Linked DNA regions of Neodiprion lecontei. The protein of the gene in region 1 purifies or fractionates together with the protein of each later gene. This does not show direct contact. Links are inferred from orthologs where the notes say so. Each region holds a gene or a part of one and is shown in the gene's direction. Other genes may lie near its edges.

What was found. Proteins that work in one complex are often made in the same cells at the same time.
Region 2: the proteins of ribonuclease 3 (region 1) and microprocessor complex subunit DGCR8 purify together in Drosophila melanogaster (affinity purification with western blotting; 4 studies listed by BioGRID, with this or other methods). This does not show direct contact. The link is inferred for Neodiprion lecontei from reciprocal best matches to the Drosophila melanogaster genes drosha and pasha.

Annotation. Positions count from the first base shown.
Region 1 is NC_060263.1:8,282,374-8,287,904, forward strand, and holds the start of ribonuclease 3, read left to right. Parts: upstream 1-2,022; 5' UTR 2,023-2,361; coding exon 2,362-3,356; intron 3,357-3,523; coding exon 3,524-3,767; intron 3,768-3,935; coding exon 3,936-4,127; intron 4,128-4,361; coding exon 4,362-4,719; intron 4,720-4,824; coding exon 4,825-5,242; intron 5,243-5,368; coding exon 5,369-5,531.
Region 2 is NC_060262.1:28,356,036-28,361,566, reverse strand, and holds the start of microprocessor complex subunit DGCR8, read left to right. Parts: upstream 1-2,254; 5' UTR 2,255-2,402; coding exon 2,403-2,435; exon of another isoform or gene 2,436-2,658; intron 2,659-2,683; exon of another isoform or gene 2,684-3,354; intron 3,355-3,949; coding exon 3,950-4,436; intron 4,437-4,565; coding exon 4,566-4,649; intron 4,650-4,971; coding exon 4,972-5,365; intron 5,366-5,491; coding exon 5,492-5,531. Other genes in the region: barrier-to-autointegration factor, read right to left, coding at 654-800, 963-1,088.

The DNA of each region.
Region 1 (5,531 bases):
ATGTAAACATGACAAGTTTGAAATATTTTAGATGAAATATAATTACAATTGCCATCAAATATTATAAAAGTGTTTTACTCACCGAGCACAAATCCTCAGTCACCTTCTTCTCCTAGTCTTCCTCGTCCTCCTCCTCGTCGACCTCCGACCACCTCCAACCACCGCCAACCACCGCGGAACACACACACACACACACACACACACACACACACACACACACACACACACACACACACACACACACACACACACACACACACACAGGCGGCTTCTTCACAGGGCTCACGAACTCAACGTCGCACTGCAATCCGTTGTCCGCAGGCCGCTCGCCGTCAAGTCGAAACTTGCCGAACGCATTGTTTGTCTAAAATTCGTTCAAGGCCGTGAGAATCTTCTCGAACCTTCTGGAAGCTTTCAAAACCTGATACACGCCAGGATTCCCGGTCGTACGTTCGAGGATCCACGGGGACCGCTCGAACGCCTGAGGATTCACGGAGTGCGCTCGGTAATGCAGTTATCGATCCCGCTCGATGAGTATGATTTTCTTTACCGACAAAGAATACAACTTATCCTACAAGGGGTAACACCACGACAATTTCAGGCATTTTTTACCGACGATCATGGTCATTTGGAGGATTTTTCACCAACAATCATGGTCATTTGGAGGATTTTTTGGCATTTTCACCGACAATCATGGTCATTTGGAGGATTTTTTACCGACGATCATGGTCATTCGGGAGATTTTCTTACCGACGAACGGTCGGCAGAGCACATTTGATCTTGTGAGAGTGGGAGTAACTTTCAAGGGTTTGCGTCTGGGCTGCGCGGAGCGGAAAAGGGTTTGAGTCTGGGGAGAATGTATAGGCGGACTGGTCGGCTCGGTCGGTAAGGAAGGTGTTTCTACGCAGAACTCTCCTTGCTATACTACTCTGGAGCGCAGAAATCACAGAGCACTTGTACTGGAAGTCAAGGTTCACCAGGTAGTACACCTTATGTGCAGAAACTACGGAGCTCTTGTCTCTGAAGTCGAGTTTCACCAGACAGCGGCTTTGGAGCGCAAGAACTACGGAGCGCTTCTCTTGGAAGTCAAGTTTCACCAGGTAGTTGACCTTGTGCGCATAAACTACGGAGCGCTTGTCCCTGAAGTCGAGTTTCACCAGACAGCGGATCCGGAGCGCAGAAATCACGGAGCGCTTGTCCTGGAAGTTGAGTTTCACCAGGTAGAATACCTAGAGTGCAGAAATCACGGAGCGCTCGTCCTGGAAGTCGAATTTCACCAGGTAGCGTACCTGCTCCGCAGAAACTACGGAACACTTATCCTGGAAGTCGAGTTTCACCAGGTAGCGGACCTGGAGCATAGAAACCATGGAGGGCTTGTCCTGAAACTCGAGTTGCACCAGGAAGCGGACTCGGAGCGCAGGACCCAGGAGGTAGAGAACCCGGTACTCGAAATCTGCGGAGCGCGATTTTCACACATCCGCTCTACTGCGCGGTTGTTTCCACACTGAGGAATTCGGCTAGCTGATTTCAGCTCGATGACGTCAAGAGAAAAAAAATTTTGAGTGACGTCACTTTCTGAACATCCTAACATCCAAACTTTTGTTTCGAACTTTAATACCATGTACGAAGTATGATGTATGATGTACGATGATATGATATGATGTAGAATGATTTTAGTTTTCTCATTTCAAACAAGAAATACGCACTTCATTTTTCGTGCCGATTCCAGACTCAAGCGGGTAGGCCTTTCGATGGTCAGCCGTTGACTAAAGATATATTCTTCAGTTAACGGGTCAGCTAATAACGCTGCTTTTCTGCGACAGTTGGACGATAAAAATTGTTGCTCATACTTTTCAAATGTGTGTTAAAATACACTCGAAGTTTCAAGAAGCTTTTTTCTATCTCTCCAAGTATCAAGAAAAAAAAGAAAAAAAAAATTGCCGTTTCTGTCTCTCTCACACAGTCCGAATCCCGCGATAAGAGCGACACTCGTGGTTACTGGGCAAAACGGCCGCAGTAGTACAGTCTCGTTCGAAAGTGTTAAACTGTTAGGTTATAAAAATGCAAGTGCTTCGTAACGGTAAATAACCATAATTAAAAACGTAATATAGGAAAAGTGATTGAATACACCAAGGAAATGAGATGATGTTCGGTTGATGTGATAAATTATCCATGTATAGTACTATAGAATCTGAATAGGGAAGGAAATATAGGTACAATATTTTATTATACACACAACATGGTACCTCTTACCCCACTATACCATGAATACCGTTGAAAGTTCATACCACTGAAATTGTAAAAGGATTATCTAATGACAGAAGAAGTAGAGAATACAGTGTGGACATAAATACATGCGTCATGGCAACACCACCGATCAACTCCGGCCCACCCTTTTACTGGGGAACCGGACAGCCGGCAGTTCAGAATGTTGGTTACTATCAAGTTCCTCCTCCCAATTTTCCTCCGCCAAATTTAAGTCAGCCTCCTCCATCGTACAATATGCCACCGCCATCAATTGCTGAAAATAAGCTGGCTGACGTCGTTCAACAACAACAATTACCTGGAGGTAGGCCTCGAACTTATCCAAGCTACGCGCCAAACAGTGCATTCATACACCATCAATCTTGCCCGATTCCAAATCCTTCAAATTCAATGTACAACACTACAAATTGCCAGCCGCCAAACTTTCACCCATCAATGTTAGGAGGGTATGATAATTACACATGGAATTTGAAAATTCTTAACAACGCTAACGCCAAGTGGAATCAGACGGACGCAGCATCGGGTTGGAAGCCGTATCAAGACAACCACAATGCTGGCTGGAATAAACAAGGATCATCACAGTCACAGTCGGATCAAGATGCCAAGAATTTTTGTCAATATACTGGGCAGAAATCTTCGTCGAGAAGTTCGTGGAGAGGTAATGTCAGTGGGCCTGGTGTTACGCAACATTTAGCATCAGACGTTCCGAGTCAGCACCACGGAACAGATAGCAGGAGATCTCGAAGTTCTGATAGTCACTCCTTAAGCAGTGGTAATAGAGGCTACGAGAGATCACGTCACGAAGAGAATAAAGCTAAATATGAGAGACATGGAAGGGACAAATCAAATGCCAGAGGAAATTACTACAACGAGGAGAGCGACAAGCGGTCAATGTATAAAAGGAGGGAACGCAGTTCCAGATACAGCTCGCGAGCGAGTATGGAGTTGGGAAAAACTAGTTTCGAAAGTCGGAGTAGAAAGAGGTCACGATCTAGGGAGTCGCATGTTTCCACCATATCGAATGAGATTAGCAATTTTCCTATGAACCAGAAATCGTTGAGCGAAAGAGATCAGCTTTTAGAAAAATACAGGTACTTGACTTTGGGTTTTGCTAGCTTAGTGTAGCGTGACCTCCTTCAAGATGTGACAAAGCTTAAAAGCAAATATATTTTGAAAGTGATGGTCTACGTTCACATGACTGCAGCCTCTTACGATTCACTACGACTTTTTAATACAATAAAGGTTTTTCATTTAATAGGCGGAATTATTGTGCGACAAGTAAAGACATGGAAAAGAAATTGGATGAGCTGTCTGCGATGGGACCGGAAGGAATAATAGAACACGAGAGAAAGGTGTGGACTCGCACAGCACCAGCCGACCTCTACTACGCACGTGATGAATTGAAACCAAAAATTATGACAGGCACTCCAAAATTGATGGAATTATGTGATATTTTCAAGAAGTTATTAGTTGATAGGTCCGGTACAGCTAGAGCATTGCAGGTTTGTAGTAGACAAAAACATTTTTCAGTTTTGTTGGCAGTAATAATATACTTCTCCATTTTATCTCATTTTCTTCATTCACATAAAAACTATTACCTGTTGTTTATGAGATGCGTGACTCTGATTGGTCCGTCGTTCAGATAAATTTGATGGTTTCGTATTCTACAGCCACCATATGAGCCACCACCAAGAAAAAACAGAGCCAGATTGTGCAGGCATAAAACTGAAGCTTGTAGTAGTTCGTCATCAGACAGCGACACTTCAATGGATGAAGATGACCGAACAATGGAAGAATTAATGGCAAAAAAACAGCATCCACAACGTCTGCATCCAGAAATGTGGTTCAATGACCCTGGGGAGGTAGTATTTTTAACTTATCTTTAATAATCCCGAACAAGAGAATTTAAAATTACAGTTCATACAAGGTGGCCAACAGCAAGTAATGTCTATTAATACTTAAAGATAAGTTCATAATTATTGATGATTTTAAAAACACTCGATTTTTTTCTTTAATTAAAATATTCAGTCCCATTGTTCACTTTGGTCTGATTGTAATAAATTTTACAAGTGATTATATTTAAATTACTGTTTCAGATGAATGACGGCCCTCTTTGTAGATGCAGTGCCAAATCGAGAAGATCCGGTATTCGGCATGGTATTTATGCTGGCGAGGGTGTCATTAAAAAGTGTGAATTGAATTCGAACAATGCAGATAAATTGTACCATTACCGCATAACTATCAGTCCGCCAACAAATTTTTTAACCAAGACTCCAACCATTATCAAACACGACGAACACGAATTTATATTTGAGGGATTTTCAATGCTCTCTCATTTCCCTCTTGTCAAATTACCAACCTGTAAAGTTATCCGCTTCAATATCGAATACACAATTCTATACATTGATGAGAAATTGCCAGAAAATTTTACCATCAGAGAACTGGATTTATTTCGTAAGTGTGGCAATTGCTTAATAATTTCAAAGAGTTGTCAATTTCACGTAATTCGACTGGAATATACGGGCGTAGTTATTTTTCTAATCATTTTATATTTTTTAGAGGATTACCTGTTCCAGCAGATACTGGAATTGGTAGATTTTGATCTACGTGCTGCTCAAGATACAGCCGGTTGTGATCAATTTCATTTTATGCCCAGATTTGTCAGAGATTTGCCGGACAATGGGCAGGAAATATTGTCTATGAATGAAGTTCTTAATTACTTAATCAAAAGCAGTAAGCCATTAATTGACGCCGACGATCTGAGCAGGCTTGTCGATATGCCTCAATATAAGTGGCAGAATTTCGCCGACGAAGTGAAAGGTATGGTGGTGACTTATCCCGGTAAAAAACCTTGCAGCGTCAGAGTTGATCAATTAGATAGAAGTCAAGACGATCAACCTCCGGGTGTCATTTCGTATCCTGAAATCGTTCATTTCGGTATCAGGCCACCACAGCTGAGCTATGCTGGTAACGCAGAGTGAGTATTGATTTTTGAATAAATATCCAGTTGATTGTTTGCATTGACGGATAAAACTAGCGAAATTTGTACTATTTTTTCTCATCTATTCTGTACAAAAAGTAAATGTATTTCGTATAATTTCAGCTATCAAAAAGCCTGGAGGGATTACGTTAAATTTCGACATTTGCTGGCAAACATGCCAAAGCCATCGTTTGAAGACAAGAGAAAATTGGAGGCCAAGGAGAATAAACTGCAAGAACTGAGAACGCAGAGTAAAATGAAGAGGGACGTAACTGTAGACGTTAGT
Region 2 (5,531 bases), on another chromosome or scaffold:
TTAGTCTAATTCACAAGTTCAAGTGATGTTGTAGTATTGCGAGTAATTGTTTATAGTTTTTCATTCTCTGATACACCAATCCAATACCAAGATATTGACACCAAATTGGAGTTATTAGAAATTGTGCATCATAATTACTATCGTTTCAAGTAATAGAGGTTTCAGGGAATTGAATCAGTGTATCGTACTATGAAAAATATCAAGAATTTTCCATAATTTTATTCTTTCCTGCAAAGTTATCACATTTGCAGAATAATAAAGTCAAAAGGCAACCCATCACGTATTCAGGCATTTGCCAATGACTGCATTTTATCAAATCATCACACTGGGTTCAAATGTAATTCCTAGTAAAGTACCTATGTAGATAATTATTATACTTATGTGAAAATCTGATAATAAAATTCCACAAATCATACGCTACTGGTTACTTTGCGTTGTAGACCATAAGAAGGATGACTGGAAGCATATCAAATTTGGTTAAAATTTGTATTCATCTTTAGTACAGGTAAGGATTATATACAATTGAATTTGGTAGAACATGCTTTTAAGTTATAGTTATATGAAAGATCATTTTGTTAAAAAAAAAAAACAAAAAAAAAACCAATTTCAATCATTTACAAAAGTAAAAAAATGTCACTCATTTTGCCTAATATTTACAAGAACTCTTCACACCAATCACAAAGGCACTGGTAGCAATCTTGAGACTGTTTTGTATTTGCGCTGCATGTATCTTTCATCCATTCTTGAAACAACTCTTTATCCTTCTTCAGAACCAAATATTGCCCAAGAACAACATAAGCCTGTGCGAAATTTCATACAAATTAGAAGTTGAAAATTTGTTACTACGATGTATAAAGTGATGTCTTCTTCAGTAACAATTTCGAGGCTATATGTATGGTAAATGTAACCACGTGTAGTTAACCAAATACGTGACAATCATGGATTACAATTGTTGCACAAACCTTATCAAAACCAGCCGCCTCCAATCTTTTGCCTAAAACTTCACCGACACCAGCAAGTTCAGTCACCGGCTTTTCTCCCATTGGTTCAGCTACGAAGTTTCTGTGCTTTTGCGATGTGCTGGACATGTTGCTAGCTGTGCTTTAACATAATAATTTCAATCAATAGGTGGCTAGTATTGTAACATGTAACCAATATTTTCACAACTGGGATTCACAAATTTTGTAGCTAAGATAAACATGTCGGTTCACTTCGTGAATAATTTCAGAAGTCTATAATCAAGACTACTTTGTAAAAATACGAAATCCTCAGAATCATTCAGAGACCAACAGAAACTGATCAAGAAGTGTCGCACGGGCGCAATGCGGTGTTTCAACTACGATTCAAAGAGTAATAATATCAAAATATCAGGTTTAATATTGTTGCGGGAAATACTATATGATATTAATTTACATACATCCTGAGCGTGTAGTGTGATTTATATGTAGCTATTCAGCACTGGAACGTTTGATTAAAAATTTTCTAGGTCCGCTTGCTTCGGCTAAACTGAGCCAAACTTTGTCAATCACTGATAAATAGGTTCTTCTTCAAATTTGATTATTTTTTTGTTCTTTTTTCTCAACTGATTAGTATTGATACACCAACAAAATTACTGACCCGCATTAATCAACCTTGAACTACAAAGTTACTTAGCCAAGCTGAGCCCAAGCCACCACCCTGACCATAAGCCACGCCGCTGCTGTGGCTGCGTTACCAACCCTCTGGTGGCCATAGGTCGTACCCAATGTGAAAATGGACCGTACTTTGAATTTACAACCGTATACAAAGATTTCACGGAGTACATTTTTGTGGTTTATATTTTATGGTCGTAAAATGACCAAGATTTTGTTCATTTTGTTCCTTTTCTCAAGGACCAGACAGGATTTAACCAAATTATTGACATTGTTACGTTCAAGAATATTTCAAACTAACGATAAAGATTGTGAATTTTTCAATTACACGAAGGAGTTGCTGGGAATTTGGAGAAAATATTATCTTCTTTATTTTTGTATCAATAATTAAAAACATATAACCAGAAATGTGAATTACTCGGACAGTTTCTTTATACTTCCGTACCTGATTCTTTTGCGATATTAGAGGAGAGTCCAAAAATAACTTAAATTCTTAGAATTTTTCCAGGACCGTACATACATTTAGCGTACAGTCAAGCAGGACCGTTATGTCCGTACAGAAGGCAAAATTACCGTATAAATACGGTGCTGACCGTACGGTTGGCAACACTGGCTGAGCTGCACCATGGCCATAGACATTTCTTATATGCCTATGACCATGGCACCTAGTTAGCGGCGATTTTTTATTTTTAAATATTTCGTGTTCACAAAGGCGTCGATGGCGTCGACAAGTGTGTGTGATCGATTAGTCGATCTTGAGCATCCCTGCAAATGACACTCCCCTTCAAAGAGAACACTAGCGAGGTACAAAAAATTAACGTAACGTAGTGCTCTTTGTGACTCCTTGTATAGTTTTCATAGTAGCCATGGGATCACGACGGAGCGTATAAAAAGATGGCGTCCGTGTATAAGATGTAAAATATAGACAAGTTGGGAGAAATGAAAGTTGAGATTATACCGCTGTACGAGTAATTCGTGGCTTAGAAGTGCGAATCTATCTGCTTGAAATCGATAACCGATAAATCAGGTATTGCGATATGTAATTTTAATTTATCACGATTGTGTATCAAAAGTATGGGCTGATTGGACGCAATCGTATTGTAGTAGTATAATTCAGATTTTTTCCTGATAAACAATGCAATTGATGGTTGCAAAGAGTTGTGACAACGCATATTGTTCGTCTAAGAGAATTTTAACAAATATGGCAATGTAAATACTCTGATTCTTTGAGAGGATCTGATTTGTAATCTGGCCAGAAATTGACTTCGATGTCAAGTTTATCTGTGATCAGAGTTACCTAAACTCCTCCGCTCAGCATTTTTTAAAAGACATATTTAAAAAAACTAACTCGTTTGCCATAGATACTTGTCACACTTTGGTCCATGTGAAATGACTACTGATAAATAGCCAGCAGCTAGCCCCGACTAGTATCGGAAACAATTTTTCTATGTTGTCTCTGTCTAGTCCTGGGGCTAACAAGCTGACACAATGCTGAAATCATCAATCAACTTCTACAGTTTATTTCGCCTCTGGTCATTCAATCGTCTAGCATTTTGTTGTGGATATATACCGGGCTACAAACTGCTAACATCAATGCAAATGTCCAATTTTCGTTGCCACTTCTTGAATGGCTCCAAATTGATTGGACTTTGGTGTCATTGGTGAAAGTGGTGCAGCCAAACAACACGCTTGAATTGAATCCACATGCAATAATTACAACACAGTAAATGTTATTATTCTGCCTAAGTTATATTATGCATACCTATATATCTATACTCTATATAAATATTTAAAAAAAATTTATCCAACTCTTCTATGGGCGTATGTACATACATACATATATATATAAATCAGTGTGTATATATATATATACGACTAATCAATAAAGCACCCTTATGTCTCATAAATATATATATTACACACATAAATACACATGCACGCACATACAATATATATATATATATAATACATATTGATGAGAAATAAGGGCACTTTATGTAAAATATGATGAATCATTTTCATTTTCATTTTTTCATTAATAGGTATGAAAATTACCATTGTTCATTTACCAAGATTTAGAAATCAATTTTCTGGATATTTTATAACAACCAAATTAGTATTCTTGTAATATTTGTGTTGGATAGATCCAAGGTAGAGCATAATGCAGCTTTGTCTATTTCACTGATTGATCGTTTCGATACTTTCCTTGAACTTAAACATTAATAATTTTGCCACATGCCACAGTTCCGTGTGTACGCTGCATTCACCACCATTATATCACTACTTCATGTCTGTAGCATCTTAATTTGATCTCCTAGCATATTGGGAAACACTTGAAACCTGGCATCATGTCTGACAATGAGAGCCCTCCCAAGATATTGAGATTAGATGAGGAGGTCAGTACTATAGATGCAAATTTGCCAAATATGGAAGAGGGAAAACCTGTGGAATGCCCATTCAAGAATAACCTGGATGTGCAATCAGACGAGGATGACAGCATGAATTTTACAACTGTTCTTAGATCTGATTCAAATTACAACATTAATCGAGAGAATTTCGAACAAGACAGCGATTTCTCGAAACATAGCAGCCAGAATGTACAAAATGGTTATGACCAGAGTAACGACAATGATTCAAATCTTAGTGGACATGATCCTTGTACCAATGATGAATTGAGACATTTTGATGTTCTCGATGATTTGGAAAGACACCCAGATCAAGGTGGCTCTGATTCTGAGACAGAATCAACTGATAGTATGGATTCTGATGTGCCAGATGAAGAAATAGAAGCCATGCTCGAAGAGGGTTAGTTCACAATTTTATTGACTGCCAAGTTTTCACTTAAATGAATGCTTTACATCAGAAGTATCACCTAATGTGAGTCAGAACTGCCACTGTGAATATACATTACTAATATCTAGTTATTTTTTGCAGGTTTGCCTGACGAATTTAAAGGAAAGCGTAGAAAAAAATCAGACGCAATGCCGTACGAGGAAAAAGAAAAATTGGTTTTAGATGGTACGATATTATAATTGAATAAATCTGTTAACATTCATACATCATTGAAGCAAAATTCTAATTACTAAAAGCATACTTAGCTTATTATCAAGGTCATGAAGTAAAAAAAAGTAATGTTTTAAAGAGGCATTGACTATATGTATATCTTTGGAACTTTTCAAAAACTGATGTAACACATCTTGCCTATTTCTCAAGTGTTGTTTCAATCAGCAAGGACTTGATTACTTTGATCCTCTGAAACCTGGATAAGATTTTTCTATTTTCTTTGATCCAAAAGTACTACAAGATTGATATTATATAAAAATGTATGTTAAATTTTCAGAAATTGGTCACAATCACTTTGACGTTCTACCAGAAGGGTGGGTTCAAGTGACCCACAACAGTGGCCTTCCGTTATACTTGCACAAGCAGAGTCGTGTTTGTACATTAGCTAAACCATATTTCCTTGGACCAGGTAGTGTGCGTAAGCATGAAGTACCTGTCAGTGCTGTACCCTGCTTGCAGTACAGAAGAGCATTGCAGGAGGAAGAAAAAGAAGAAGAAAAGAGAAGAAAGGAAAGAGAAAAAGAACCTGCTGCAGAGACGTGTAGCTTACCCAGTGCTAAAATTGAAACTATTCAAGAAAATAGGGCAGCACATTCTCTAGACAGTGAACAACTCAGAAACTACTGTCAAGCTTTGTTTCGCTTCAAAGCAATTAAAGTCATGAGATTTCAGTACGTCTAAATATTTTCACTCAGCTTTTACTTTACATTCTATTTGGCCAAGATGAAACGTTCAGAAGCAATGGTTGATTTTCATGGATAACAATCTTGAACATGTTCTGAAAATTTGTCATGTAGGTCGTGGTCAGCACGAAGAAAGTTTACAAAGAACAAGAAG